Kluyveromyces lactis: one gene and its partner. The protein of the gene in region 2 purifies or fractionates together with the protein of the main gene of each other region. This does not show direct contact. Links are inferred from orthologs where the notes say so. Each region holds a gene or a part of one and is shown on either strand. Other genes may lie near its edges.

Evidence for each region.
Region 1: the proteins of KLLA0_B01826g (region 2) and NUR1 purify together in Saccharomyces cerevisiae (affinity purification with mass spectrometry; 3 studies listed by BioGRID, with this or other methods). This does not show direct contact. The link is inferred for Kluyveromyces lactis from reciprocal best matches to the Saccharomyces cerevisiae genes SRC1 and NUR1.

The regions. Positions count from the first base shown.
Region 1 is NC_006042.1:672,200-688,853, forward strand, and holds NUR1 (Nur1p), read left to right. Parts: upstream 1-14,332; coding exon 14,333-15,973; downstream 15,974-16,654. Other genes in the region: ARC35 (Arc35p), read left to right, coding at 1-895; KLLA0_F07073g (uncharacterized protein), read left to right, coding at 3,022-4,698; KLLA0_F07095g (uncharacterized protein), read right to left, coding at 5,574-6,806; RNA-binding signal recognition particle subunit SRP14, read left to right, coding at 8,390-8,845; clathrin-mediated endocytosis regulator UBX3, read right to left, coding at 8,964-10,202; RAM1 (protein farnesyltransferase), read right to left, coding at 10,587-11,876; RIM13 (Rim13p), read left to right, coding at 12,066-14,123; FG-nucleoporin ASM4, read right to left, coding at 16,083-16,654. UniProt on the Saccharomyces cerevisiae protein: Member of a perinuclear network that controls recombination at multiple loci to maintain genome stability. Required for rDNA repeat stability.
Region 2 is NC_006038.1:148,906-166,070, forward strand, and holds KLLA0_B01826g (uncharacterized protein), read right to left. Parts: upstream 9,551-17,165; coding exon 7,754-9,550; intron 7,540-7,753; coding exon 6,925-7,539; downstream 1-6,924. Other genes in the region: E3 ubiquitin-protein ligase TOM1, read left to right, coding at 1-5,046; FMP40 (Fmp40p), read left to right, coding at 10,132-12,141; KLLA0_B01870g (uncharacterized protein), read left to right, coding at 12,477-13,496; KLLA0_B01892g (uncharacterized protein), read left to right, coding at 13,939-16,950. UniProt on the Saccharomyces cerevisiae protein: Plays a role in sister chromatid separation.

The DNA of each region.
Region 1 (16,654 bases), on a different chromosome or scaffold from region 2:
TTTGGACAGAATCATCTCCGACTTTGATTATACAACGTTACACATCACCAACGATGGCACTGATAAGTCGAACCTATTAGTTTCCATCAGAACCAAGGCTACGCAATCTTGTAATGAGAGTGGGAACGATTTACAAGGGTTCTTGCAGGCAAAATTCGATGAAGTACCAGGTTTGGCTCTATCATCTGCTAAAAAGGAGGCCGGTTACGATTTTACCATTACTGTTGATCTATCTCAAATCACTGCGCAATCTATTGTGCAAGCATCTTTGTTTAAGATCCTTGTAATGTCATATCCATTCTATTTAGCGTTTGGCCAGAGTAATGCTCTTTCTCAATTGAATGAAATAGACCAAGTGGAAAAATCAAAGGAGGCCAGGGCTATGGTTATCAAATACAGAGATGATGAAAACATATACATCAAGCCGTCCTTTGATCGTATCACTGTTATATTCGAAACTATATTCCAAGATGAAACTGACAAAGTTTTCGGTAAAGTTTTCCTACAAGAATTCGTAGACGCAAGAAAGAGAAATAGATCCATCCAATCTGCGCCTCAAGTGCTATTCTCCCATGAACCACCTTTGGAAATTCAAGAAGTAGCCCAACAACACGCTCACGTTGCAGGTGCTAAGAAGTCTACCAGGAGATTCATCACATTTGTATTGTTCCCACGTCACTACTCCTCCGATGAACTAATGTTCACATCTGTGTCACAGCTTGCCCTATTCAGGAACTATTTCCATTACCATATCAAGTGTGCTAAGGCATACATGCATTCAAGAATGAGATATCGTGTTGATACATTCATCAAGGTCTTGAATAGAGCAAAGCTAGACGAAGAAACTGAATCCGATTCACGTAGAACAATCACCGGTAGAAAAATGGTCTACTAAGTAGAAATTGGTTTCAATAATGTGTTTAAAGTATAAAATAGAATGCTGCCGATGTAGCGATTTATATCACGTGACAAGTAGATGATCCTATTCAGATTTTTTTCCCTCCGTAATGCCATGCAATTGCTGGGCAATAAACGCTCGAGCCTTGAGTCAGTTCTAACACAACCAAAGAGGAATGGAAAAAAAAAAAAAAAGACCGGGTAAAACCTACCTGAGTGGAAAGAAAAAAAAAAACAACGCAACTCCGAGTCGGACCATTCCGTCCCAGTTTTAGAGTGCTTGAGAAGCTCAAGAAGCTTAATTTTCAATTTTCCTCACCCTTGTTGCAGCTGCGAAGTAAGGCACAAGGTAAATGGTACATGGCCTAACCAGAGTACTAACGCCGGTCAAGTTTGGGCTGGAATTAGCACTGCCCTGCCTTGCCCCTTCCTTTATCTGTCCAAACCCCACTTCACAATTCAGAACGGAATGACAGCTGGGCAAGCCTATACTGCCAATGTTCGCAAACTTGCATTCTGGAACCAAAACCCTACGGCCTTACCTGTTTAGCCATTCCTTACATGGTAATGCCATTTGTGCTTTTTTTTTTTCCTTCATTAATTCTACGCCCACGTTACTGGGTCTTACCCAAACGGAATATATTTTATGATATCGTCGGCAATTTGGGATGCTATTATCCAGTACTCCATCATAATATACCTCCCACTTTGCGCACGGCTCATAAAACCTACGCCAAGTTCTGGTAGTTACCTTTTTTTTTTATTTTCGAACTTCAAAATGGCTCAAAAACGGCTTCAAAATTGAATCAGGAAAAAAAAAGCATCCAAAGTTATGGAAAATCCCATACAATGAAACGACGACACAAGGTGAAACAAGAACCGGTTTGAATCTGTCAAAGCAAAGCCGGAGTGAAGAACCAGATAGCAACGCAATGTTTTTAGATGACTGATCGTATATTGTAGAATTCTTTTTTCGTTTTCCGGGAGTGCCTAAGTCCTCTTTCATATATCGCATAGCCTTCCGGTTGCAGCCGCAACCAAATAGCAATTGACTGGGGAAGAAAACCCAACCACTGATACAACGATTCAGAATGGAATTTGTAAAAGCATGACCCAGTAACTAAACTCCAGCAGAACGAGCTATGTCATTGATATATACATTAAACAAGGTAGTGTTTTTTTTCTTATCTTTATTTAGTATGTCTGACCTGACACTGACTCAAGGGAGTTTAGCGCTCATTACCGAGTCCCTTGTTCCTTTACCAGGCACCAGCTGCTAACACGCCATGAGTACTAACGAAAAAGAAATCTCCAACATGGCTAGATCTCCGGTACAGCAACTCGTATGCGACAGTTTATGAGCTCTTTTTTTTTTTTTACTACCTTCCCTCTCGCTCAGCTATACTTAACTAATTTCTTTCCTTTCCTTCCAGAGCTTCCAAGCAGTTTTTTTTTTTTGTTTTTGAGTGATTATATTCTTGTTGATCTAATGCTCTGCAACTGAAAGGAGAATGCCGAATCATTTTTCCATCCTTTGGGAAGGGCAACGAGTGGGTATGCTGCTGCGACTTTTTCTGTAACGGTTTGGATTTCACCGTTTGTAGTGTGGCATACGCAAAAGACCTGTCCATGTAGGTATTCATCATTAATATGGAACGCACGGCTTGTCCTCGGGTTTCTTTAGTTTGGTTTTTTTTTCCCTCGAACAAGGGTGCTTGCTCCTCTATGTGTGAGTTTGAGTGTGGGATGGTCAAGGGAGAGAGCGTCGGCTCTTACGTGCAAATGTGAAGCGCTACTTTTGGACCCGCTAAAGCCTTTGATTTTGGAAAAATAAAAAAAAAGGTAAGATGCTTTAGCCATATATATATGTATATATATTGAGCATTAAAGTGATTTACAGGTATGTATGGTGTTGAAATACGGAATTGGCGTATGTTTTTTGTGTAAGCTCTGCTACTGTACGTATTTTTTTGTTATCCCATAATCAGACATCAAACGGCTGCGATATTTTTGTTGTACTTCCTAAGATATCAGTACTAATATAATATTCTATGGTTTATATTATTCACTTGGGTAACGAATTCTAATAGCATTTACGATTGGAAAAATAAAGAAAAGGAAAATATGGACGTTTTATCTCACTCGAGCGTCAACGGTTCCGATCATGTACAAATGATCCAACTGCCACCAATTTCATCTTTTGATTCTTTGATCAGAGCTGCTTCGGTAACAGATAACAATAGTATAACGTCTTCAAATTCGAATTTTAACGCAGGTACGCCGAGTCCAGGTGTGACGAATGGCCAAGTTCAGTTCACTGTGGGGTCTGGTACCGTAAACATTGCACCACGTACTTCTCGAACGTCGGTACCGAATAGCTTGATGGCTTCTACGTTGGTAAGCGTGAGTCCCCGTGCCAGTGCAAGTGTAAATGCAGCTTATACGAATGCCAACACTCCTAGCACTCATCACAACGGTAATTATAATGCTGACCACGCGGAAAGTTTTAGTAGCAGTGTCAGTTTTAATGATAATAACAATAATAATATTCAACACAATCAACATCACCATCATAATCTGCAGCAGCAACTGCAGCAGCATCAACGTCATCCACAGCAAATACAACGTCAAGAGTCAAACAACCACTCTGTCCCTGTAGTCGTCTCTTCCGGTAAAACGTTTACAGATTCTTTGATGTCCTACCAATTCGGAAGCACAGGCAGCTCCGGATCAAGCCCTAACGGTCAACAATACCGTCCATCTTCATATTTCCAATCATCATTGTCGAATGGTAACGGTTCTCATACACAATCCCCCTTTGCTGGTAACCCTGTTTCGCAACCACATCATCAGATAATCCCCAAACTTAATTCAGGTATTTCAAATATGAATTCATTAATGGATCAACAAACGTCACCTACTAGCGATAATAATAATAGTAATGTGCATCACCAGCAGCTACATACACACTACGGTCAAGGCCACGGTAGCTCTTGTAACCATACACACTCACATTCCCAAGGTAGCTTGCATCATATGATTTCTCCGATATCAACAACTAACAATCATGCGACAAGCCCAACAAATTCAATTGCAACGGTTTTATCACCAACTACATCGACACCCTCGTCTACGGTGTCGAGTACATCAAAACTCTCATCGTTATCCACATCAAGTGATCTAAATACACATCTTATGGATAACTCGAAATCGGCTAAGATGAAGATCGAAAATAATGCAAACATGGTTTCCAAAAAACAACCAAGAAAGAAGAAGCAATGTCCTTTATGTGGTCTCTTTTTCTCTAATTTATCAACACATAAGTCAACCCACCTGTCACCCGAGACACGGCCTTTCAAATGTGAGGTTTGTTCTCGTGGATTTGCCAGATCCAATGATTTGATAAGACATAAAAAATTGCATTGGAAAGATGACTTAAACCAAGAATCTATGGATTTTGTTGAGAAGTTAAAGTGCTTGCATGAATTAAAAGGAACCTATAAATGCCCTTTTAACTCTAACTTGATTAACTTAGATCTAAAATTAAAGGGCTCTGACATGAAAACCGCAGATTTGCCATTCGAGACTTCAAATTGCCATTCAACTGGGGTTTTCTCACGTTGCGACACTTTCAAAAACCATTTGAAAGCTTTGCATTTTGAATACCCACCAGGAACAAAGAAAAAAGATAGAGCGAACGTTGCAGGCCATTGCAAACACTGTGGTCAGAAATTTGAAAGTATTGAAACGTGGTTAAAAGATCATGTTGGCAAAGAATGTGGCTATAACTACACTGGCTGAGAACGGATATCCAGGGTAATGTGCTGGCACAAAAACGATCTATGGAGTGAGGAACGAACAAACATAACTAAAACAATATGAAACGAATTATACCCGGGAATATGTATACCTCTATTTCCTTACCCAAACATACGACACATAAACGCACGGATTGTGAATACGGTACTTGTAGCACTACATGAACCGAACTGTCCATATATATGTATTTATATAAAGTTATATATTAATGAGAAACGAGATTTTTTAATAATTACTTCAATTTACTGAGGTTGGCACTAAAATAATTAGCGAATGAAAGAAATAAAACTGTTTATGAGGCAAGTGTCTTTCATTCAATTGAATGTCGGAAGAGGGTACTAGCTTTATGATAACGTTTTAGATGTTATATTCTTTTATGATTAGCAAATCAATCCTTAAGTTCCATAGTATCCATCATGTAAACATTTAACGCTTAAAAACTTTTATATTTATGATATATTTATATATAAGAAGAGAGAAGGAGAAAAAATAGAGACAATGTAAATGCCTTTTCAATTTTGTGATCGGAGGTCACAATTATGATTATCTGTCTCTTCGCATCCGACGTCTGATCAGTAAAATATTCTTATTATGTGCCTGTGAATGTTGTAACTGTTTTTCTTTCTCTCTTGGTTAATATGCGTAATTCAAAATCATGAGAAGGTTCAAAAGACGATGAGAGTTATAGTTCGTAAAATAATGTAGTAAGTTGTTAACATATTAATATATCATGTGGTGATGATAAGTGTGGACTATGGAAAGTAGGAAAGAAGGTGAGAAAGTATAAATGGAAATAAATAGGAGAATTGGTCATGAATTGATGGAAACTAAAGAAACCAAGTTAATTGTTAGCTAGTTCAGTTCTTCTTCTTACCAGTTCCGACACCAACGTTGTTCACGTTTCTGAACATGTAAACACCCTTGGAGTCAGCATCGTCAACGTATTGGCAAGTTCTTGCACTCTTCCATAGTGATACCCACATATTCTCATCGTTAAAACGGTAATGTTCACCCATAACCTTCTTGATAGCTTCTGAAGCAGGTCTAGCGTTGTAGAATGGAATTCTGGAACAGTAGTGGTGCAGAACATGTGTTTCGATAATGTCGTGGAAGATATGAGGGCCAATGAATCCGAATTGTCTATCAATAGTGGCAGCTGCACCTTTAGCGAAGGACCATTGGTCAGCCTCGTAATGTGGCATAGAGGCATCTGTGTGTTGCAAGTACGTGATGAACACTAACCAATGGTTAACCCAAATGTATGGAACAAACCAGTTAATGAAAACAGACCAGCCGCCAAATTTATCATACCATATCTTCAACACCAACGATTGTGTCAGAATACCCAAATCTGATAGCAGAATGTAAATGTAGTCTTTATCGTCGAACACAGGAGAACTTGGCCAGAAATGGTTCCATTTCCATTTTGGTACGTCTGGATAAGGCTGACCAGTGACATTGGTTAGCAAATAGTAGATCCAACCACCCAATTGTTGAGTAAGTAATTCTATCAAAGTTCTAATTGGAGAGTCTTCAGAGAATTCATCGATGTCAGCAAGAATACCACGAGACTTGACGAAATCTTCTTTTGTCTTTGGTACGAAAACCATATCTCTAGTAATATGGCCGGTAGCCTTATGATGCTTAGAGTGGGTATATTTCCATGAAAAGTATGGCACTAACAAGTAAGAGTGCAAAACCCAACCCACAAAATCGTTGACAGCACCATAATCAGAAAAGGCTTGATGACCACATTCGTGTGCTAACACCCATAGACCAGTACCGAAAAGACCTTGAACGTAGCCATAAAATGCCCAATACACAAACCTTGCAGCAACGTGTAGATCTTTGACGTATGGATAAGCAAAGACATTGGCAAAGTAACCGATACCGGCCATGATAGCGATATCACGGAACACATAGTATAACGAGACAGCTAACTTTCTATTATAGCATTCTGGAGGAATGGCACTTAAAATGTCCTTGATGGTATAATCCGGCACTTTGAACACATTACCATGTGTGTCTATAGCGACTTTGCAAGACTCGGTAGTAGTTTCAGCATCGGTTACGTACTGAGACTGAGACATTGTTTTGATTGGAAAATGTCCACAAGTAATCTAAAAGCGGGCCCAGTTAAAATCAGGAATATAAATTCAATACCAAAAGGTACACCGGGTGATACAGTCTAGATTAAGCTCTGAATTTATGCAGCAGAACCCCTTTTCACAGCCGAAACAGATATCAAGAGATTAGCCTGATGATATGTCCCTTTTAAATAGAACTAGATTGCTCAAATCTATCACTATATATATGTAAATATTCTATAACTCAAAAACTCAAAAAGACCAAAATTGGGACAATCTTAATATTTAAAATTTAAACTGCCTTTGGTTTTATATATTGGAAATGAAATTACGGTAAAGATTTGAATTAATGTATTTAGACAATACGCCGCAGCAGCGTTAACGAGAAAAAAAAGTAAGAAATATATATTTCGAAAAGTAACGGAGTGCACTACATTGATCTCCCTGCCAGCGCGCGTCAAGAAAGGGTCCACATTGGAAGTTACTGATGCCGTTGATATCCAAGGGCCTGGACTTAACAGGGCATGAGGATGGATTTATCACTCCGTTGCTGATACCAATCGTAACACAATCTTGCTTATTCACTATATACTACAAATAAATACTAAGAACGAATATCCAATTGGACAAAAAAGCACCTATAAACGATTGTATTGGCTACGCTTAACGGTTTAATGTTTCAATTCTTTTTTTTTACGAATTGTACTGTGGTGAAATCAGCGAGGGACACTGATTCTTTATGAAACCAAATCCAACCAAAAGGAAAATGCGTCAAAGGCTAGTAGGGAGAGAAAAAAAAAAAAAACAAAACAGACACCAATGTCTGATATCTTGCCATCGATTGACAATTGAGCTTCTACAATAACACTGGATACTCCCGGATCTCTCATCAAGGGTGAGAGAATGTACAGTTGATCGATTGAAGGTGTAACATTGCCAACAAAACTCTGTAGCAAATCACGCGATCAACTTACATATCCAATAGGATACCTCAAAAAACAGTCCGTAATCTCCTTGATGACAGAGAAGCTTACACACGCTTCTCTTTAGTGCAAAGTGACAATGACTACCCCCTTTCTGTTTCTCTGTAACTCATCGCATCTCATCTCATCTCGTCTCATCTCATATAGTATGGGGACCTGTTGTTTTTCTTTTTTTTTTTTGTTGGGAAAAACAAGATCGAGGATCGGAAATTTCTTTTTCTAAAAAAACTAACGAATTTCTTTTCGGGTTCAGGTGAATAGGCACAATTGATTTGGCAAATCTGGCGCAGATGTTAAATGTTATCCGGGTAATGAAGAACGTCACGTGGTTTGCCACATTTCATTCTTTTTGCACTTGTTTACCGGTATAGAAACAGAGTGGATATCAGAAACGTCGTAGAAATAAAGAGGAAACACATAGTGAAGGGACGATGGCCGGGTAGTGTAATTGCCAGTTGAAAAAATCGTACTTAGCTCCAGTCAAATGAGGGAAAGGCCTTAGATTCAACCTTCGACAGGCAGAATATGGTAAAGATGTCCAAAGAAAAAGGTTCAATATCATCACTTATCCAAGTCACCAGAATATACAGGTAACTTCCCATTATGTCAGACAAAGATGGAACCGCTAGTGGGCTTAAGGAAACGCCAGATTTCATAAAGAAACCTTTGTCTCATGACGAATTTTTTGTTAAGCTTGAAAAAGCTTTCAGAATGTCCAAGGTATCGCACAATCAGCTCAAAGTAAGCTTGAAAAGAGACTTGGGCAGTCATCACGTTCAAAAACCTAATGAATTGGATGTTACTTCCAATCCTACTGGTGATATCTCAAAGATGTCAGAATCCAAACGTTTAAAACAAAACGCTCAACCAGATACAAAACCATACAGACTTATCGTGCTAGTGAGCATGCCATATGATGGGAAACGAACGAAATTCTTCACTTTGGTAGATTCAAAGACTCTTGATAAATTTTGGAAGGATTATGTTAATGTTGTAAAAACAAGTATGTCTGGATTAATTAAAAAGAAGAAGAAGAAGAAGGGTGGTAAGAAAAACTGATGAAATATTCCCAACCTATTATCACCCATGAATCATAAATCCGCAATCGTGTAGCATTATAAAGTACATGTTATATATACATATATAGATGTCAAACTGCAAACCAGTAATTTGGTTTTCATTCGAACTCCACGACAATTGTTCCCGATGGATAAATTGTCCGTTCTTCCTTGATCACTGTGGTTGGCTCCAAACGGGTTCTGGGCACAGGTGAATATAGTTGAAAGTCATACTGATACTCGTAATTTGGTTTTTCTTGTGTAATATCATTCTCGCTGCTAGTGTCAGATAATAAACCTGCTCTGTATAATGCAACGTATGCGTAAATCTCCTCAATTGTTAATGAAGCATCAAATCTTCTAATAATTCTTTCATTTTCTAGTCTGATGCTTACTCTGCAACCGTCACCCGATGGTTCTGGCACTAGTACAGATTTTCTCCAAGCCAACCATTTCTTTTTAAGTTGGCTTTCCTCGATTACCCTATCCCTTTCCTGGTCCCTTTCTAGCGATTCTTGGTATCTCGAATCTTGTTGTTCTCTTAATAACCGTTGCATTTCCTGGTACTGTCTTTGCCTTCTAATCTCAACTAATACTGAATAATATGAGGCTAATTTGGCCTCAAAATGAGAGAAATCATAATCAAATAGTTGGCCCTCCACTCTGGCAAGCAATTTCATTTTATTATTCCGTTGGGGTCCAAGGGCACCTAAAAATGGAAACTGTCTAATCTTTAAAGAATTAGCAGTCTGTAGCCCTTGTGGTGTTGTAACATCGCAAAACCATACAACGCAATTATATTTGGTGACACATTCTACAAACTCGTTGGAAGTTAAAATCTTTCTTACGTACTCGAATGGATCGTATAGTATCGGATTGAAGAAAGATATTATTGCAAATTTACCATCGCTGGAACACCGACGTAAGATATCAGTGTAACCACCCTTAATCATATTTTTGCTCAACATTCCATTCTCTACATTGTACAACGTATCGAATGTATAACCACTCTGTTCGTTGGTATCGGCTGATGAAGAAAGGACATCTATAACATTTACGAATTGGTTACCCAAATCATCGCTGAAATGATTGTCTTTTCTTGTGTAGAAATGAAAGATCTTGCCTATTGGTTTGAAAACTTCCACCGAAGTTAACAGGATATTGAGCAAGTAATATAGTAATGTTAGTGGAATGTATAAGCACATTTTTAATATTCTAGGAACGCCAGCATTCAGTATTGTTTCCTGTTCAGGTTGTTCTGTATTATCATTGTCTTCAGGGAATGATCCTGGGAGAGGGGTAAAACTCACTGCAGGTTGGTTCTGCTGAGACGGCCTACTGAAAATGTTGAATACCATGTTCAACAGTTGCAGATTCGTTTCTATAGAAGAGTACAGCCTCTAATATAGGTGAAGCTTTCTCTTCTTCTACTGAAGATTTACCCTATGGATACCATTGACAACTTTTAAAGGATGTCTGATATTGTTTTTTAAATGTCAAATTTAATGGACAGACAATGATAGATCATCGTGAGTGGAAATTCACAAAGAAAAGCGCCACGGCTAAATAGTACAACTAAGGCATTTAATAGTTAGAGTATAATTCCCGATGATTGCTACTCTCAATTTTATTATATTCCGAAAGTTATTTTCTTCACCTATGGAGTCATGTTAATTTAGGTATCATAATGAGTATATAGTTTTATAGTATTACACATGCCATCAGAGTTAATCGTGAATTCATTACACTTTCATTGACAGATTAGACATGGATGGTTCTCCGCGTCTATTAATGAAATTGTTAACGTCAAGGATAGCCAGTCCGAATATGGGATGAATAGGCTCAACTTCCGGTTCTGGCACAAGTGGAGTTGCAACAAAATCGAAGGGTGAATTGTTTCGGACCATAAAAGAATGTTCGCAAATTGATAAACCAGCCAACACATAATTGGTATGATAAAAGTCCGCTTGTGTTCCCGGTTTATCTCTTAGGCCAGGGCTTTCTTCCGATTGACAGCATTTCAATATATATTGTTTTAGGGCGTCTTTATCTATGCATACTCCATACCCGTATGCTTCTAAGATTGCAGCAGTTCCGCCAACCCAAAAACTGTAGCAACCATCTGTAAGTTTATTGCTTCTTCCGTTTAAACCTTTCTCCTCTTTAGTTTGACGAGAACTACACCATGACAATAACGCATCGATATTGACCTTATCTAAGGCATTCAACATTGCCAAGCTGGCTACTGCACAAAAAGTGTAGCCACCATGTGCTTCATCATTTGGGCAGCCTCCGAAACCACCCTCGTAAGATTGGCATCTTGTCAAGAATTCCGTCACATTACTTGTTAGTTTAGAGTCCACAATGCCTAGTAGTGACGCTATAGATAATGCAGTGTATACGCCTCTCACATCTTGTTCGCCGACTGGGCGTGCAGTCATGAACGCGCCGCTAGGTGTTTTAAGAGAAATGAGCCAGTCGTATATAGCCTTTTTATTGATTTCTCTGTTATCATCGAGATTGTGACATAGAGCGATGGAATTTATAGCAGCGTATGTGGCCGCTAGATGTGGTAGTTGATGCTTTCCGCCGCTGAAGGGACCACCTGTAGGTGATATATACCATAGCTTGTCCAAAATACGCTTCTGATAATCGTTCGTAAGCCAAGTGGGATTCATTGTTTTGAAGGCATTGCCAATCCAGTACAACAGCCATGGCTGAGAGGCATCGAGTGATTTGAATCCCGAAGGTAATGGATTATTTAACCAATATTCAAGGAACATCTTATGAGAATCCTTCTGCAAATGGTTGAATTTCTCTGGAGCCTTTTCATAAAGCTCCAGACATTCATTTATTAACTCTTCCCTTTCCACCAAGGTTTCAGTAATCAGCCCTGTATTTGAAGTTCTAATTTCCATCACTTCTTCCTCATCTACCACTTCTTGCTCTATTGTTTCTCGTTTCCTTCCAAGCACATTGGTTCGAAGATAACTCATCTTTTTGATAGCCCTGGTAGCACTATTTATAGCCATTGGCCTTTGTCCAGATCTTTGCTTTCCTGTTCTCGCCCTCTTTGATGCTTCTGAAACTGGCAATTTACTATTACGAAACCTCAATCTTTATTCAAATAACATTTACGGTAGATATTTATAACTGAGAAATGAGTTTAATGCATCGATAACCTCAAAAACTGAGAATAAGGCTAAATGACTAATTGACTGATGCCCAGAGGAGCGCAAGCTATGCTGGAAAAGCAAGCAGACTCTGTGTGGAACCAGCTGTATGAGATATGCTGGAACTTCTACGTGAAGAACGTTTGGGATATTAACACATTTAAAGCGATAGTGGACAAAATAGAGAAAAGTGATGACAAACAGCTAATACGGTTTTTGATTTGGTTTAATGATGCTCGTAAAAGATCTAATTTCAATGACAAGTTCCAATGGATGACGTCTTTTTTGTATGGTAGGCGTTATCCGCCATTGGGCGATGATCTAGTGGTCAAAGAACCCTGGAATGATTTGCAACAATTAGACAGTATTATAAAGTACGGGAATGAACCAATTGACTTGGTCAAAATGCAGCCAGATTTTACTACGGAGGAACGTATTGTACAGAATAGGCGGGTCAACAACTGTTCTTTAATATGTAGTTTGACCAATGCTAGAGAGGAAAATCAGATAAAGAGTTATAGCGTCCATAACGTTTTCAACGTGATTCTTCATTTCAATGGGTCAAATCGACTAGTGTCAGTATTACGAGATTCAAATTTTCCAAAATGCTCTAAAGACGGGGCTGCCTTGACTCTCTTCTCCCATAATATAGAAGATATGTTGATTGAGCTTGCATATTTCGAAATCAAGAATAATCGGAACTACGCGTATGGGGGATCCAATACAGCTACTGATACTTATTTGCTCACAGGATGGATACCAGAGATTCTCAACCTAGGAGACGTATCATTTAGTGAAATACGTAAATGTTACCAATTCAATGCCATGCTTGCTTTAGGAACAGATTCAGTGAAGGGAAAAGAGGTAACAGAAAATCATGATTTTGTTGTGACTTCTGTCAATTGGAAGAAGGAACAATTTACCATCCTAAATCCTCACGGTACTGAAAACCCCACTGTGTATACTTGGGACGACCTAATAAAAGAATTCAAATGGTTATATGTAAATTGGGATCCATATTCAAAGTACACTCAACGTGTAAAACTACATGATCGATATCCAGATAAATTTAATGCATATCCTACCTGGACTCAAAAACCTTTGATGTGCATTGAGAACAAATCAAACAGCATTCAAAATTGTCATCTTTATCTAGAAAGACACCTACTAGATGATTCTATTCTCGAATCCAACCTGACAATTGGTGAAATTCCAAGGTCTGGGTTTACAGCTGTCTCAGCGGAGGGGAATAATAGTGGATTCTGTAATATGCAACTGCGGCTAAACCCCCATGAAACACGTCTAATCTTTTATCATTCAGACAAAAAGTGCAATTTGACTTTCCATTTACTATCTAATTCTGGTTTGGTTTCAATGTCAAAATGTAAATCAGATATATTAACTGCTGAGTCTAGCTGGAATATCACAAATAATCAGTGGACTATTGGTACTTCTGAATATTTCAAAAGTCCTGTTTTCAAACTAAAAAGTGATGGTTTCGATGATACTTATCTAGATTTTGAGCTAGTCTCGCAGTTACCAGCGAAGGTGAATTTTCAAATATTTGAGTCCGATGATTATGCCCTACAACGTCCGATCTTTAAGAATGACACATACTCCCCACAAATTTTTTCCAAGCATGGAGTAAGGTTATTAAAAGGGAGAGAATACTTTATAGTATGCTCCATCGCTCATCATATTACCTCTCCGTTCATATTTACGCTGCGAAACCCTGAAACAAAGCAGTCAAAATTTGAACTATCTCCATATTCGTTAGGATTTGGGGGATTAAGATATAATGAGGTTTTGCGGTGCAAAACGAGAATCACAATATCAGTTTCAAATTTCACGCGGTTATTTGTTCTGCTGTTCACGTCAGCTTCGAAAACAAATGGAAGACTCACGTTACGTTTGTACGAGAAAGAAACAGAGGAAATCCTCTTTGAACAAATAGAAACAAGGTATGATCTTAGTGTTAAACCATTCCCGATACCGAATATTGAACTTAAGCCAGCATCGTACGTGTTAGAAATATTCTACAATGCAGATGTTGTGATCTGTAATCTCGGAACTTCTCACCGAGCTATATTCGAATCGGATCTATAATTTCAACAAGTACGTTGTGGAGGTTTCCACCCACAAGCATATCCATCACATTGCATCACGTGATTTGTATTTATGTTTGCTCAAAAGGTAAACAAAAACGATTTATAAGATAAATAATGAAATTTGTAACAATTAAGGTCATAACGATCTTTGTCAAGCCGTTTACCGTTGATACTAATGCAAAAGCGCGGAAACAAAGCAAATAAATAATGGCATTTTGGCGAAATAGACATGAATCACCAGCCATTTCACAAGAAAGAAGCCCCAGTCCTGACAGGTTCCAAAATAGTGAAGATATAAGGGAAGATAATAATAATTATAATGAGGATGAAAAATTAGGATGGTTTGCTTCGTTCATGGGAATGTTTTCATTACCTTACGACTGGTACTTATCTATCAACGAAGATATAGCTGTGATTGACTGGGATAGTAAGTCAAACTCGGTAGCATGGCCTTTAGGAAATGTTCTAACCTTCCTTTTCTTCTCCGTACGATTATTGCAGGACAATGTGATAGCCCCAAACATCAATAAGCTAACTCATTCTGATGATGCATTTGACTTTTCAAAATCTAAGAATCTTCAGAAATATGATTATTTTCAGCAGTATGGAGGTTCCGCTTCTTCAAGCGAAAATTTATACTACAAAATGTTAAGACAATTGCACCGCCTGTTTTATCTGCTGACGGTGTTGTTATTAATCACTAATATTTCGGTAACTTATAGATATCTTTTCGCGCATTTCCAGACCTACTCGATTTTTTATTGGAAAACTGTTCCGAAGTCGAAGAATGTAACCAAAAAATCACTTCATGATTTGAACCATACCTACGTCGAAGACGCCAAAAGAGACTCTTTATGGGGGATGATTAAGTATCTCTTGTTCAATGGGTCTCACGATGATGAGACAAATAGAGCCCATTATTATGAATTACGAAAATGGACACCAAGCAGGTTTCTTACATCTTTTTTTGTCTCATTTTCTCCAATTGCATTCTGTTTCTTGTGGATGACAGATGTTACTTTCAAAACTCTTATTCCAATCATTATTCACCAATATGTTTTATGGTTTATTGTTATTGATCGATACGAGCAGAAATTGAAGGATGAGCAGATTTTGAGCATGTCCAGTGTGGCTGAATTAAATTCAAAAGTTATTCAACCTAAAATGAATGTCTTGAAGCAAGATGCGATGGTTGACGCAACACCTTATAACGATGGAATAGTTTACTTCTATCCGGCTTACACCACTACAAGGTCGCACGTCTTTGCAACCCACACTTTGAGTGGGAAACTTAGTAAAGAAAAGTATAATCCTCGCACAGATTCATTCGAGGATGCCAATTCACAGCGTACGGAAAACTACGTAAGGTTCTCGTACCATCACCCTAAGTCAATAAATGGTGCTTATGTACGAGAATCGTATCCTAGCAGACAGCATAGTCCGCGTTTGAGCCCTTCTCGCTATTCTCATCTTCAAAGTGGTAATACACCTTCCGCTCCCTCCACGCCACTTCTAATACCATCTCAACAACCTCATTTCGATCATTCCATGTTGGCCAATGCATCTAGAAATCATAATATAAGTGAGAGAAGAAACTCTCATAGTCCTATTAAACAACACTTTGCAAATAGGTTACTAAACTATCCGGATGAAACAAATGATAGCATACCCGATGTGTCTGATGACAGATTCAGAATGGATGATCGTTTCAGAAGAGGCAGACAAGGCTATTTCAATCGATCTCCCGACATCAATTCTGGTACGTTACATTACGATGATGGTGATGATGATGATAACCGTATATCAAAGTCTCCCTTTCGGAATTCATCGTCTTCACCATTTCGGTAGTTATTCACTCAAATACTCACATTCATTGAAGTTTGGTGCACTGGAATTTCTTGAGGTATCCGTAAATTATATAAACATAATACATCTCTAATTACTAAAGACAATGAGACTATAGGTCGTTCCACCCGAATAACCAATTGTTGACCCTTCCAATTAAATTTGTTGGTTGTTGGTTATTCCCATGCTGTTCCTGTTCTCGTAACTTGTTCTCCAAATTTCTTAAAAAGTTTGGACCACCATGAGGAGGGTTTGCATTATGCACAAACAACTGCTTTCCATCTTTGACATCCAATTTCCGAGTAGAAAAGGTGAACCCATGTTTATTATTATCAGCACTTTCTTGTGTCCCATTTTGTATATCAGATGATTCAGGTCCGTTTGGTTTCATCGATAAACTGAACGGGATTTCTCCGATGTCATCAGTTTTATCGATTTTGCACGAAGCCAATTGTTCTACGGCTGTTTTGCTATAAGGAACGCAGCCAATTAAACAACCTCCATAAACGGTACCATTCTCTTGTAGAGCTCTCAGAGCGGCACTAGGGGAGTCATACGTGATTTTAATCCATCCATCGCCCGTGAAGATAGGATATTTCTTATGAGGAATTTTAGAGTCCTTATTTTGAGCACGAATTCTAATAGTAGCACTGGATATGTTGTTACCTGTAACACCTCTTAGAA
Region 2 (17,165 bases):
TTTGTCACTGAGCTATGTAAAACTGGCAGAATGGTTGATTTTTCTTCAAGCCACGAATTGAGCTCATTTTTAATGAAGCGAGTTCCAGAGGAAAATAATGAAAGAATAGACATAGTTCCATCAGCTGATGTAATATTCAATAAAAGAACATCCATTGTAGATCTTTTACTCTCGCAGTTGATGGCTGCCTACAAAAAAGATTGGCTAACGGAACCAGCAACACCAAAGGAAGACGAAAAAAAGTCTAAAAAGAAGCAAAGATTAGAAGTAAAGGCTTCCAAAAACCCAATCTGTGCATACATGATATTCCTTTTGAAAGTTTTGATGGAACTTTTGTCCAGCTACAATCATTCTAAGTATGAGTTTATGACTTTTAACAAGCGGGGAATTTATAGTGAATCACCAGCACCTCGTACTACTGCTTTAAACTTTTTCATTCACCAACTTTTGGACTATAAAACCCAAGATGGAGACGTATATGCTGCTAAACGTAGAGAAACGATAGGAAAACTAGCGACGTGTGTTCTTACCTGTTTTGTGAGTTCTGTTCAAGATGAACGAGTTGACAAACCTGACCCAAAGGCACCAAATCCCGATATGACCTTTATCAGAAAGTTTACTTTGGAATCTATATCTAAGGCAATGAAAGATCTTAACTCAACAAAGTTCTTGGAAAGTAATGTCGGAAAGTATCATGGTTGGTTTAACTTAATTCACAGATTATTGGTTACGGACAACTGGGTAAATCACTTATTAGATGGCAAGAAGTTAAATGCCGATAGGTATGAAATATGCAAACTGATGCTTGAATTAAGAATACCTGAGACTATTACCGAGTGTCTTTCAACGTTAGATTTAAATGTACCATTTTCCAAGAAGGTTTTTAATGCAGCGGTTGATCCATTAAACTCTATTACAGAAATTAGAAATGACTACTCAGATTTCTTTAAGCTTGAGAATAATGAAGAAGAAGATGATGTTGATGAAGAATCCGACAAAGACGATGTTCCGGATATGTTTAGAAATTCTGCATTGGGTATGTATGACATCGAAGACATCGAAGATGATGAGGACGACGACTCTTTGATTGGAGACGAAGATGTCGCTTTTGTTCAGGATAATGACGATATAGAGATTGTTTTCAGCGATGAAGAGGATGAACAAGATTCCATTTCAGAGTCTGATAGTAGCGAGTCGGATGACTCCAGTTCTGATGGGGCTGAAGAAAGCAGCGGTGATGAAGATATGGATGTACACATGGCGTATAACTCAAGTGATGAAAGTATGTCTGTCAACGATAACGAAGAGGACGCATCCGAACATGATAGCTACTACTCAGAAAGTTCCCCAATGTTTGTTGAAATTGATGAACCCGCTTATGGATCTGACCTAGAAATTGACTTGGATGATAGCGAACTATCATCAGACTGGGAGTCTGGCCTTTCTGAGCTTGACGACACTGACTATAATAGTGACGACTCCCAGCAAGAAGAAGACAGCTACAATCCTTCAAGAGCAAGAAATGTTGGCAACAATACATGGGTTACATCCGATGGTGTAGAATTGTATGATGATTCTGATGGTGAAGGTAGAGGCATATATAGAGGCGTGCAGCATGTCACCAATGATGAATTAATTTTCCGAATTGATCACCGGTCAATGTCAAGCAATCGTCGTGGCCGTCATCACAACCGAACAGCAATCGCACCTTCTATCATATCATTAGGAGGCGAATCTGATCGGAGCAGAAACATGCTGACTAACCCCCTAGGTCCCCATGGCATGGAAGAAGTCGAGGATATTATTACCAACAATCAACTTGAAGATACTCCAGCGCGTAGATTTGGATCTGGAATCACAGGATTCTGGCTAGCGGAATCATTAATGGATAATAAATCAGTCGAAGGTATAATTGTCAAAAAGACCACTGAAAGGTGGGGTGATATATTCGAAATGTTTTATGAGAATAAAGGATTTTTGGGGAATATTTTACCAGAGATTGTATCAAGGGTGATTAAAAGAAGTTCTGAATTGTGGTGCCAACGTCAACTCGAATACAAGGCACAAAAAATGGAAGAAAATTCAGTAGCAGACCGCACTAGGAAAAGAAATCTCGATGAAATGGCAATGGCAGAAGATGAGGCTGAAAATGCATCCAGTAGAGAGGTATCAGATGTTGTGCATGAATCTGACAATGAGTCTGAGGTAGCTACTGATAATCATGAACCAGTTTATGTCATCATTGATGGCAATGAAGTGGATATCGGAGGGACAGATATTGATCCTGAATTTATTAATGCTTTACCAGAGGACATGCGAGCGGAAGTGCTAGCACAGCACATTAGCGAGCGCAGAGCAGAAGCTCAACAGCAAAATATAAACTCAAGAGAGATAAACGACGAGTTCTTGGATTCAGTGCCAGCCAATATTCGTGAAGAAATTATTGCTGGCGAAAATGTTACCAGAAGATTTTCCCACCTTTTATCCAATAGAAGAGTTGATGAATTTGACGGTGATCTGAGTAGAGATGATCATGACCTGGATAGTGACCAATCGGTGCAGGGAAATACTCAACCAAAATCAAAACGCGTCCACTTCGATCCGTTAGTTGATCGTTCCGGCATAGCTACAATTATCAAAAGTCTTTTCATTCCTCAGCCATATCTTTCTCGCGAATCCTATCACGAGCTTTTCTTCAAACTTTGCTCCAGTAAGCAAAACCGCAGCGATATAATGAACTTTTTATTGCTAATCTTAACTGAGGGGATAGCTGACCAATTTTCCTTGGAGAAGGTCTTCAACTTGATTTCTAATAAGGCTAACTCTTCCTCCGATCACAAAAATATTGTATACCAGTTACCACCAGATTGCACCCCACTCATTGTTGCGAATCAATGTATTGAGGTACTCCAGTTTATGATTGATTCTGATGCTCGATTGAGATACTTTTTCGTCACAGAACATGATAACCTCATCATTAACAAACCATACGTCAAGACCAAAAAGGACATTTTTTCGAAAAACATGAAGTGGCCAATCAACGCTTTGTTCTCCTTATTTAACCAGAAATTGGTGACTGACGAGACTGTTTTAATGGATCTGTTAACGGATATTTTGGAGTCATGTTCCAAACCTATTACGTCGTTGGTTAAAAAGAAGAATGCAAGCAACTCCAAAAGAAATTTTGAGATTCCTGTGATTGAGAAGAAGCATTTGGAACTAATCGTTTCAGTGATCAAATTGGATTCGTGCAATACGAAAATTTTCAAGCAGACCTTGAACCTAATGACCAACCTTTTCTCCATAAAGGATACTCAGGAGATCTTCACTTCGGAGTTGAGAACGTTGGCAATGTCTACGATTTCCCAGTTGATAGCAGATTTGAATGAATTGTGTTTGCAATTGCCTAATGTGAAGAGCGGAACAGAAATCAACTCAGAAATCATTCAAAAATTCACTGCTCCCAGCTCTGAGCAGTCCAAGTTATTAAAGGTTGTAACTGCTGTTGATTATATCTATTCTCATCAAAAGGAAGGAGATACCGAAAGTTCACGCAAGTTAGTTGCATTGTTTAACGAAATGAAACTCGGTGCTGTCTGGGTTGCGTTAAGCAAATGTCTAAGCGCCTTTGAAGAAAAATCACCTGTGTCTACGTCCGCTACCATTTTACTACCGACTATTGAGTCATTGATGGTTGTGTGTAAAAACAGTAAGGTTAGAGAAGTTGCTGCTGGTCAATTGAAATACACTGAAAAGTCGTACGATTTTGAGACCATACCTGTCGAAGACCTTTTCTTTGAGTTTACTGATCTGCACAAAAAGCTATTGAATGAAATGATTAGAGCCACTCCACAACTTATGAGCGGCCCCTTCCAACTTTTGGTCAAGAATCCTAAGATCTTGGACTTTGATAATAAAAGACACTTCTTCATGGCAAAATTGAGACAAAATACTACAACTCGCCAGAAGCTTTCCATAACTGTTCTTCGTGATCAGGTATTCCTTGATTCATACAGAGCACTTTTCTTCAAATCTAATGATGAGATAAAAAATTGTAAATTGGATATTACTTTCAAGGGAGAAGCTGGTGTTGATGAAGGTGGTGTAACAAGAGAATGGTACCAAGTTCTTTCTAGACAAATGTTCAACCCTGATTACGCATTGTTTATTCCAGTGGGTACGGATAATACCAAGTTCCGTCCGAATAGAACATCGGGTATTAATCCTGAACATTTATCATTTTTCAAATTCGTGGGTATGATAATTGGTAAAGCAATAAGTGATAACTGCTTCTTAGATTGTCATTTTAGCAGAGAAGTTTACAAAAATATCCTTGGTAAACCTGTTTCCTTGAAAGACATGGAATCCTTGGATTTGGAATACTACAAGTCTCTCAACTGGATGCTTGAAAATGACATTACATACGTAATCGACGAAACATTTTCCGTCGATACTGATGATTATGGAGAGCACAAAACTATTGATTTGATACCAAATGGCCGAAATATTCCCGTTACTGAAGAGAATAAGAAGGAATATGTTCAAAAAATTGTAGAGTACAAGCTACAAGAATCAGTGAAGGACCATATGCAAAACCTTTTGCAAGGTTTCTATGCTGTCATTGATAAAGATTTGATTTCAATTTTTGATGAGCAAGAATTAGAGCTATTGATTAGTGGGTTACCTGACATCGATGTCGATGATTGGAAGAACAACACAACCTACGTGAACTATACACCAACTTGTAAACAGATAAACTATTTCTGGAGAGCGGTGAGATCTTTCGATAAAGAAGAAAGGGCAAAATTGTTGCAATTCGTTACCGGCACATCAAAATTACCATTGAATGGATTCAAGGATTTGAGCGGTATAAACGGTGACTCGAAGTTTTCAATTCATAGAGATTACGGCTCCACGGAGAGATTACCATCATCTCACACATGTTTCAACCAACTGGATTTACCTGCATACGATTCATACGAACAATTGCGTGGTTCTTTGTTATTAGCGATTAACGAGGGTCACGAAGGTTTTGGATTGGCATGAGATTTTTGACTATAATATGTACTGATAAATACTACAGCAGTAAATGTTATTTAACTTCATTATTTAGTGAACCTGCTTATGAATGATTTTAAAAGGATGAATATTATCATTGGTTTATTTATTTAGGTTAAAATACGAGTCAGCGAACAACAACCAGCGCTAAGATAAGTAAATACGTTTGTGGAATGAAGGTTCCCAATGCTTGTCAGAGAAAACGACTCTGTGCTCAAGAAAAGAAAGGGACATTGCTCATTAACTATGAAATCCAGCATGCATAGTAAACGGCGTGCAGTTATGAGTGCATCTAGCGTAAAATGAGGTGGGGTTTAACAATCAAATATTCTTGCTCTGTTCTAAAGACTTGACGTGAGCTTCCAATCTTCGAATGGAACGATTCATGTCAAGTATGTCATCATTCCATTTCCGCTGTCTTTCCTCAATATCGATCAATCCTAACGTCAACAGACCAGCACTTAGACAACCGATTGAAAATCCAAGAAGGCCAGACTTAAATACTTTAGCCGTTGGTGATCTAAACACTTGTAATGCAACCGGACTAGCTCTCATTAACTCCTTTGTAAGTTTTCAGGGATATCTTGACTTCTGCTTAAGAAATTCCTGGGGTTTATACTTCATATCTACATAATATAAAAACACTACAATGAATATAAACATAGATACGGAAAGGATTGCCATCAACGCAAAATATCCTTTCTCGCTTCCTACCTTTATATATATGTATGTCGCTCCAAAAAAAATGGATAACAGTCGTCATACATCATAGTTGAAGCGATGCGGCAGAAAAAACCTATCAGAACTATTCAAGGAGCTTTACCGGGATTCCGTTCAATAAATTCCTCTCCCCCTCCCCCCACCCTTGCAAGGAATTCTATCAATTACGCGACGCCAAAGAGATCAGTGAAGAGGGTTGCGTTGGAAACAGAAGAGTGATGCTGGCCCTCATAGGCTTGAGCCCAGTCTTTCAATGCCAGACGGAGAAACATAGACTTTCACGTATCTAGCTCCGCATCCCGAACTGACTTTAACCATTCAGTATTTCTCAGACTAAAGGCAAACCGAATCTCTTCAGTCATCGAATAAAGCACCTACTTTCACTGGAAGGCCTTGGGATAGAGAGAGAAGTTTAGTACGTAGCATTATGTAAGCACCCTTAGAGCTTGTAAAAAACCACATCAACAAAAAATAGGCTGCTCAAACTGAACACCCACACTGCACCTATTGCACCGCGTTCATTTTTCAGCTTTTGTGGCAAACCTGATAGAGGAAAACAGGGAAGTAACTGGTAAAGACACCGTAGAAAACATTTTCTACGGCCTTCCTTGTAATGTTTTTCCGGGATCAAGGTTTATTGTCTGAATTCTATGTTAACTCCTGAAGAAAACCTGGAGAAGAAATGCATTTCTGTGTCTACTTAGAATGAGCGATTTCTTGTAAAAAAAAAACTGGGGTAAAATCGGAGGTATTTGGATAAATTATGGAGGAAAAGAGGTGAATCTCCACTTTTTTGTTCGCTGGAGAATGGGGATTCAATTTCAGCACCCCCGGGACTAATGGAAATATCGGCAATGTAGTGAGTCAGGACTTATGACTACATGCGATGGCTTTGTTAGGATTAATGGAGATGTCGTTGTTTGCAAAATCCCTAAACGTCCAGTGCCATATGTCACGTGATAATTTTCTCTGTCGTTGATCGGTGTATACTAAGATAAGTGAGAATTACAAAATATGTAGTTATACAATTCAATTTAGTGTACATAGTTCATATATATTATATGCATACACATAAAGTCTATACTGTCTCTGTGAACAGTCCCAGGTCGCAATGAGAAGAATCTTAATTTACTATTCTTATCACTACTACTCCTGTGATTTTTGATCATTTTCGTTGTTCTTGTTTTTTGTGGAACCTTCGTCAGATTCGTTCTCGAATGGCAATACACCAATCCACTCCCAACATTTCATGATCTCCCCGTGGATTTCCATCAATGTCGACTTCACATTGGTATTACCATCTAATTTCTTGGTAGTCAGAGCCCAAAGCCTGTTCTTCTCGTTCAAATCGTTCATATCATTTAAGATCAAATCTCTCAATTGCACAGATGACATGTATCTCGGTTGTTTTTGCAGGATAATCGCTTGTTGCAACCTCTTGATCACTTGTTGTGAAATCTTTTCTATTCTTTCTCTTTCTTGTAGCTTTTTAGAAATGTACCTTTTCAAAAGTTGGACTATTACTAGTAAAGATACAACGGTCAGAATGATTCTTTGATATCTTTTCCAAGTTGTGTGAACTTGCCTTTCAAATTGGCATTTCAAACCGATGTACTTCTTAGACGTAGATCGAAAATACCCCTGCTGGAATTCTGTTTCTTGAAAATGTCCCTCCGGTCTTTCAATTTCAACGTCCCAGTTGGATGTATCAATGTCGTTGGAGTCTCCTGAAATAGTATTGTTTCCTGATCTTGTTGGTAACTGTAAACAGAAAAAATTGGGATGCTCATTATTATGAACGAAAAGGTTGTTAGTAAAACATATTATTGTTTGTATTATTGTCAATCTCTGGTAATATAAATAAATCACAGAAGGACGCTACCGCGATATGCATATACATATTCGTCAATTCTTCGCCGCGGCTCCAATACTTCGAGTTTATTTATCACGAGGTTGATCTTAAACATATACTCACTTGCCTCCAAATAATCTCAGGTTCCTCTTTCAAGTCAACCTCGACTTGTTGCCACAATGCGTCGAACTCTTCGTCATTGATCCATGGCTTTTTGGACTCATAGAAAATTTCGTAAAGCTCTGCATTACTAATTCCGCTCTTATAGTCATCTTCATCTTCACCACAAGATTCTTGGGCGTTTTTAGTTCTTAAGAGTTCAAGCGTCTTTTTGACAACTTCTTGTACAAGCTTCTGCTTTCTGGAGTCCTTCACACACTTAGCATGAACAGGAATCAACCCATGAAGAGATAATGGAGATTCTTCGACAATGTATCCCGGCTTACATTTGATCTCCAAATAAGGGTAACATATGGCATCGCTTGGACATGGGATACAATGTGGTTTGAAACGTTCTAATTGGTTTTCGAATTCGTTGATATATGGATTAGAATATTCTCTACCAAGAGTTGGAATGTCAACCTCAGAAGCACAGAAGCCAACAGCGATTCTTTGTTCACGATACCACAACGCAAACAAAATCGGCAACAGTATTAATAAAAACGAAATGACTTTCAGTAAGAAGCGCCCAGTTGATATCAATCCTTTTCTAATTATCGAAGAGATGTTAGTTTCTTGAGTAGGTATTTCGTCTGTTTTATTCTTAGCGGCCTCAATTATTGAGGTAGGATCCTTAACAATTGTACGCTCACCCTCATCACCCCCATCAACTTCGTTTTCATCCTCTAACAAATTTTCTGACTGCTCTTCGGTTGCAGATTTTGGGACCTCTTCCTCGCTTTCTTCATCCTTGGCAAAAGTTTCTGCTTTTGTAATAGTGGTATCGCTCTCTTCCCCGGTTTCAGTAATAATAGATTGGTTCACTTGTTCCTGCAATTTTTTTACTTCTCTTAAAGTTGGCAGTTCAGTCGCTGGAACTTCCGGCAGTTCTTTCTTGACTGACTCTTGTTCTACTTTTTGCAAGGTTTTGGCTGGTTTGGAATCCTCAACCTTTTTCTTGATTGGTGTGGACTCACTAGTAGATGGGTTCAAGGACGAATCTGTCACTGATGGGAATTCGGCTCTAGTCTTTAATGATTGCTCGTTTGGGATATCCGACAATATGCTATTTGCTTCTGGAAATTCAGATTTCTTTGGTTTTGCTGTTTTCTTGATGGAAAAGTTTATGAAGCTATCGTCTTTACCAGTCTCATCTGATGCATCATCTGACGATTCAAATTTGTCTATAATCAATGATCTGTGAGGTGATTTGATAGGTGATTTCGTGGTAATTTTTTTTGCAATCGGGGACCCAATCTCTTCCGATTTGACCTTCTTTTTCGTTTTACGAGTCTTTTTCACAGGTTTGGTATCTTCGGTATCACTGCGCTGACCATCCTCATCCTTTGTCCTTTTCTTTCTCTTCTTTGAAACAGGCCTCTCACCATCTTTTGCCTCATTTTCCTCCTTGATGGTTGATTTCTTAATAGCCTTTGCCTTGGTCAAAGATTTCTCCAGGGATTCTGGAGTAGTTGATTTCCTTTTTTTGCTTTCGCGCTTTTTCTTCGTAACCTTAACACTGGGAATAACAAGCGGACTGAGACCTCCATCTTTCTCTAAATTCTTTCTAATACTGCCCAAATTATCCTCAACGAGTTTTACCAAAGAAGCCTTCTTATCATGTGCTTTGAACCCGATCTCATTGCTAGTTAACACAGTTTTCAATTGTGCGATCTTCAATGTCGAAAGATCAAAATCGTCTTTCAAGATAGAGTCATTGAAACTGCTATCAGCAGCACTGCTATCCTCCTCCTTACTCATATTGATCAGAGGTATAATATAGCACACCAAACTGCCTGCTATACTAATCAATCAATTTTTTCCTCTTTCAATTCAACCTTTTTCCCATCGAAACGATGAATCGATTATACGATTTGTTTATGTGTTTATTGTGTTTGTTGTTGATGTTTACTTTCAAGAGATTTTGGTGGGAGATTTTCAAGTCCGGGTAATGAAAATGGGAAAACGGTAACTTCCGTCGCGTATTGAGTTAGGGTAGTACTGACCGTCGCATTTTGACATGAAATTGCTGTTATTACGTTACTTACTGTCTGTATATCTCAATTCCTAATTTGCAATACTGCAATTCAAATTGTAAGATTGGAATGCAAACAATTGTGGTGCTTGTCTCTTCAATGTTTGTCTTCTTCACCTTTGTTTTGCTTATATAATAGCAACCTTCACTGTAGATTTATTATTCAGAAAAAAACCGGTATATAAGAACCACCTTTAACTTCAGAAGAGGGATCTCATCTTGAAATCCCCTAATTTTATCAAATCCCGATATTGGTTATGTTGGATGGAATCAGCTGCTCCTATCCACATATAATATCATTCACACAATGGCTGACTTTAGGAATATTATGCAGGTACTAAAAGAATGTGGAACTTCCAGGGTTGTTAAGCATATGGAGCCGGAAAGGTACTTGCAGTCAGTCGGCGCAGCCAAGGAATTATACCAGAATAAAGATGAAGAATCATTGAAAAGGCAAAAACTGGTGTTTCATACTCCGAGACCAGTGACAACCGAGAACAATGGTGTTCCTCACTTTTCTTTCGGTGTTCCGGAGGAACGTCCTCATTATAAGTTCATGGCTCACAGTAAAAAGGCATTGGAAGATTTACAGTTGAAAAGTGATTCGTCATTAATAAACATTTGCCAGGGGTCAGACGTGTACATCGATGAATCGAGAGAAATTTTTCCTTATAGTCTCGCTTATGCCGGGTTTCAATTCGGTGAGTTTGCAGGACAATTGGGGGACGGAAGAGTTCTCAACCTTTTCGATATCAAGGATAAGGAATCTAAACTGCAAACCGTCCAGTTAAAAGGGAGTGGATTAACTCCATATTCAAGATTTGCTGACGGGAAAGCTGTAGTCAGATCAAGTATTAGAGAGTTTCTCATATGTGAGAGTTTGCACGCCATTGGTATTCCGTCTTCTAGGGCATTGCAAATCTCATCGCTACCGAAGACTAGAGCAAGAAGATCTGTTTTTGAGCCTTGCGCTGTGATAACGAGATTTGCACCAAGTTGGATAAGAATCGGTAATTTTGATTTGTTTAGATGGAAACAGGATGATGAGGGTCTCTTGAAATTAGCAGACTTTTCAATCAATCATGTTTTCGAAGGATTGAAAGACTACAGAGACACTGTTGCATTAAACAGCTTCAGTGCAAATTATTTCGAAGGAACGTCTGATACTGTGAACAACAAAGAGCTACGTTCGTCAAAGGTCGATGATGGTTTGACAAATTACGATAAATTATTCAGACACATAGTCACGTTGAATGCAGAGTGTGTGGCATACTGGCAAGCATATGGGTTCTGTAACGGTGTCTTGAATACAGACAACACTTCAATTCTAGGTCTTTCTATTGACTTTGGTCCATTTGGATTCATGGACAAGTTCCAACCACAATATACCCCAAACCACGACGATTATAATTTGCGTTATTCTTTTGCCAACCAACCCACTGTTATATGGTGGAATTTAATCAAGCTTGCCGAAGCTCTTGTTATACCCTTAGGTGTAGGTCCAAGTTTAATTGATAAACTTCCAACGACTAATCGAGGAGAGTGGAAAGATCCAGAAATTGAGAAGATATCCAAAAGGGCTACAGCAATAATTAATCTAACTGGTTTAGAATATGAATTCAGGTTCACAACAAAATATGCAGATTTGATGGCAAAAAGATTAGGTTATGATTTGAATATTCCTGCTACCTTAACGGACGATAATTTAAAATCTGTCGCTGAAAAAGTGACTGCTTTTACTACGGACATCATCGAACCTATTTTGAGAATCTTGACGGTATCTGGTGTTGATTACAATAGCTTCTTTTTGGCTTTACAGAATTACGATGGTAATTTCCTAGATGAAGGAGGAATTAATGGAGTAGATGATGGTCTTTACAGAGTTTTCTTTAATGAAGAACAAACCAAGAAGATCAATGATTATTACATTGGGCAAGAACAAGACGACTCCGGAGAGACGAGAAAGCTAATTGAAGAAGCAGAAGTCCTATCAAACTGGTCAAAGGACTATAAACAATTAATTTCAGACTACCCAGAAAGAGTCAAAATAGCGAAACAATTCAATCCGTTATTCATCCCCAGAAACTATATACTTGAAAGTGTTGCAAACCATTACACCGATGAGCAGCGTAATGAACTCAACGACCCGGATGCAAAATTGGACAATGGCCCTCTTCAGAAATTAATATTGATGGCAACCAACCCATATGATAAATCAGCTTGGGATAGTTCTTTTTTACCCGAACTAGAGAAAAAATGGACGAATGTCACTGAGGATGAAGATTTGTTGATGACCCAGTGCAGCTGCTCTAGTTAAGTATATATTCACCCTTTCTATTTTTTCACTTGCTACTTGTTAATTTCCAAAACCAACCAACCCTCAGAAGACATGTGCTAGTGACAAAACGTACTATCTGGAACTCAGTGCTAGAATCTAGATTGATGATAAGTAATAAACAAGTTATACAGTGAACTCTGCGTTAATGAAATTTATTTCGCAATATGGCTGATTGTTGATGTTATTTGGATCTAGAAACTGTTGGAAACGTCAGTTTCAAAACTTGATCTCAATCCAAAGGCCAAAAGTATAAAAAGGCACATGTGTCTGCATTATTACACCCCAAAACAATAAATGGGAGGTCACCAACGACCATGTTTGCCCATATTACTGGTATGCAGAAGACAAAAAAGAATATCTTTGAGCCTTTACCTTCTCAGAGTTTAAGCCGGTTACCAACTCCATTTTACAAACTTGACGCCTATGATTGTCCTATAAATTTTAGTGAGATATCAGAATCATCTGATAGCTTTTCAAAGGAGCTTGAAAGCATTATCGAGAAGGTGATGTCTGAAAGTAATTGTGCCTCTTCTTCCTGTGAAACATCTGTTAAGTCTGAAAAAATGCCAAATGACAAAAAAAATTCAGTAGAGTTGAAACTTATGAATGATTTTTTGTCGCAATCTATCTCAGAGTCAAAAGATGAAGCCGAATCCAATGGCCAATTTAACAGCACCAATGCTATTGGGTCTGTAATTGACAAGAAAAATATTCCAGAAACAACACCAGAAGAATATCTATCTATTGACGGTCAGGAATATGCCTCTCAGCAAGTTACAAAAAGAAAATTGAAAGGTGATTGGACAGGAGAACCAGTTTCTGAGGTTGCTGTTGATAACAACACCAATATTCAACAAAATGCTAGAGGAGTTATCATGATGAAGTTAGTAAAGAGTTACATCAAAATGCAGAACTTTATTGACAGATACCCAATATACACTGCTGGGGATATTATGCGTCAAAAAGCAGCTCTTGTTCATTTCAAAAAGAAAATTGATAATGAGAAGGTTAGAGAGGGTTCCCATATGGCAAAACAATGTTGTTACACCATACTTCTGGGGCCATATTATTTAGGCAAGATGCTTTACAAGCAGTTCTTGAAATCTTTGATAAAATACTCTATTGAACATCTAGAGGAATTCAAAGACACCGATTATCAGGAAGTCTTAAACTTTGCAAAGATCCAAACAGTCAACATTGATTCTTCTTCGAAATCGTCAATGCTTTACAGGCAGTGGATGCAGACTGCCAATGAAGTAGCACTGACGCCAGTTTCCAGTTACAGAAAACTCGGTACTAACACCAGTTCTTTGTTGCCTTCTATTGAAGGTTAATTGTAGGTTGATTAACAAAACAAAGTTACTCAGAAAGAAAAGGACAATAATAACCGTGAAAAAACGCTGAGTAGCCTAATAGCCTTTATGTATGTTCTGTTTTCTATACTAAAACAACGCAGTTTCTATTGTGTAAGGAAGTTTCCTTCTGACAACCCACCGGATTGATACAAAGAAAATAGTATCACGTGGTTATCATAGTTGTGACTGCTGATAGTGCGGGTAATATGATCTGTCAAATTCCAATGTGAAATGATTAATATGAGATATACTAATTGTTACTTCCCTCATTTAGTCCATGACTATCGGATTATGCACTTTGAAGTTGCTATCCAATACAGATTACTATCGAGGTAGAGTTGCCGATATACTTTGCATATCTCACAAACACTGTTACTACAATATAGCTATATCTTTTATTCTACTTGCTAAGATTTAAATCATGGGGTTATTTTTTGATTCCCCGGGCTCAAACTTGTATTTGCCTTGCTTTACACTTGTTGACGCACCTAAGCTTGTCCCACTACCTGGTGTATCGTACAAGGTTTCATTTGAGAGAGATTCTATTATACATGTGCTATCTGAGTTCAAACGAAATAATTCATTCAAGAATAATCATCTATTGGACAAAATCAACACGGCTATTGCTCAGAACGAAATAGTAGTCGATAATTCAGTTGTGAATTCATGCAAACAGTTCCATAAGAAGTACGGCTCTGATAATAGCAATAATGACGCAGAAGTTCAGATGTACATAGTTCTTTTACCCTTTGAAGCCGTGAATAACTCTGTTGGAGCTGCTTCAAGAATAACTGCAATTCAGGTGGAAGATGACACCATTACAATTACGTTCAAATCAGTCGCAAGAGTTGAAAACAAACAACCTCTATTGAATATGCAACATAGTTTATGGAAATCCAGCATCCTAGAAATTGACGATCGCTCAGAACTACGGACCTGGGATCATAAAAGCATTAACAAAAGCATTTTGAGTTTCGTGAAGATATTTTACGACACAGACAAAATAATCAAAGACTTCAAATCAAAATACTCATTAGCATCCAAGAGATCAGGTGATATAGATTCTAGGGTCTTATATCTTTCTCCCTTAGCGAACACTCTTTTCATGCAGTTAAATGGGTCTCACTTTAACAAGTCTTGGAAATTATTGAAGGCTTATCTAGAGCAACTCACTGTGCTTGAAAGGAATTATGACACCTGCTTTGAATTAGTTTCAATGATGGACTTGGTAATGAGTATACTACCTATGTCATTGAAACAACGCTTAGACTTTCTCACTGCGAAGAAACTCAAATCAAGGGCAATTTTATTCTCCACATGCGTCCAAGACTTCCAACAAATTTTCAAAAAGCTTGATGATAGCGTGGATTATGTAAATAATCACTTCTCCAATTCTTCGAATAATGACAAGTCCAAGTTAATTGCAAATCAATTGAGAGCTTTAAGGTTTTATATCGATGATATTAAAAGGAATAACTCCAGCGTTATACTGAAGGCAAATTCCGAAAAAGAACGTACAGACGTCACATCCCCAAACAAGTTTTTGAAAACCAGTTCGAGTCACGATGAAGATTCTGATTCAAATGACGAAATGGAACAAATTAAGTCTTTTATCGACTCCTTGGAGGAAAAAAATGTTCATCCTGACGGTATCAAACTGTTACAAAAGGACTTCAAACGGTTCATGAAGATGACTCCTCAGAATGCCGATTACCAAGTTCTAAGAAACTATTTTGACATTGTGATGGACATTCCGTTTGGAAAAACTGTCAATATCTCAACTATAGATTTGGCAAAAAGTAGAGCAAAATTAAATGAGGATCACTATGGATTGCAAAGTGTTAAGCGCAGGCTAGTAGAATATCTCAGTGTCTTAAAGATATCCGAGATTTCTACCAATGATCCAAACCTTAATACCGACCTTCATCCTAAGAAAGACAGGGCTTCTATCAATAAGCCGCCTATCCTTTTGTTGGTCGGTCCTCCTGGTGTGGGTAAAACATCTATTGCTAAGAGCGTTGCTGATGTTTTAGGTCGAAAATTCCAAAGAATATCTCTCGGTGGTATACATAACGAAGCAGAAATTAGGGGTCATAGGAGAACATATGTGGGTTCGATGTGTGGTTTGATCATTGGTGCTTTAAGAAAAGCGGGTACAATGAATCCCTTAATTCTTTTAGATGAAGTAGATAAAGTATTGAGTGGAGGGGTTGGTGGATTTGGTAACAGAGTTAATGGGGATCCCGGCGCCGCACTATTGGAAGTATTAGACCCTGAACAGAACTCTACCTTCTCGGATCATTATGTAGGATTTCCTGTTGATCTTTCACAAGTTTTGTTTTTCTGTACTGCAAATGATCTCGAAGGCATCAGCGAACCTCTTTTGAACCGTATGGAGCTAATTGAGCTTCCTGGATATACTCCAGATGAAAAAATTATGATTGGCTCCAAATTTCTCTTGCCTAAACAGATAAAAGCGAATGGTCTTGATGCCATTAAAGAGCTACCTAAAATTTACTTGACAGATGAGGCATGGAACTGTGTTGTCTTAGAGTACACGAGGGAACCGGGTGTTCGTGGATTGGAACGAAGAATTGGTGCTATAGTTAGGGGTAAAGTTGTTGAATACGTGGAGAACAAAATGATACAGGGTGAAGTGGACAAAGAACATTTATACAAGTACCTTGGTCTTGCACACCATCCAATTTCAGAGGAGATTCTTGCTCCAACTGAGCATTCAGAGAAATTTGGTGTTGTCAATGGATTATCCTATAATTCGGACGGCAGTGGCAGTGTATTGCTATTTGAAGTGATAAAGATCCATACAGATGAGAGTGGAGCTACAAACGGCCCATATATAAAGACCACAGGTAATCTAGGAAACATCCTAGAGGAATCCATCAAGATTGCAACAAGTTTTGTGAAACATATACTTTTCCGTGGGTTGATTCCTGGCGTGAACGAGAAGGATATCAATGAATTTCTCACATCTGAATATCACCTCCACGTTCCAATGGGCGCTGTATCAAAGGATGGACCCAGCGCAGGCGCTGCAATATCCTTAGCAATCCTTTCTTGCGCTTTGAAGAGACCTGTTTCTCCTAAACTCTGTATGACGGGGGAGATAACGCTTCGAGGTAAGATCTTGCCTATCGGTGGAATCAAAGAGAAACTATTGGGGGCACAATTTTACCACATGAATCACGTCCTAGTACCCTCGGCTAACCTATCTGACGTTGTTCAAGCCGTCTCTACGGACAATCAAGAGCAATACGAAATATATATGGACCGTTCGAGACAACCAGAACTACAGAAACTCAAGGACAAGACACAACTACAATTACACTACTGTTCCGATTTCTTCGATGTAGTCAAGTATACCTGGCCTGAACTACTGAATAAAGAAGTGTCACACAGCAGACCATCTTTGTAATTGAGTGTGGCAAGTACGTACGCATATATATGTCGAATAAGAACAAGAGCTTGGCTATGCTTCCTGTTATTCAGGCAAACTCATATTTAAGACAATAAGGGAATGAATAACAACTAGAAACATTTTAGTTCTTTACTTCCCATAGTATTAAGTCCAGTTGCAGCCAAGCACCACTTTCTCAGTACAGTCTTCCACGATAATGTTTGTTCGCGTCC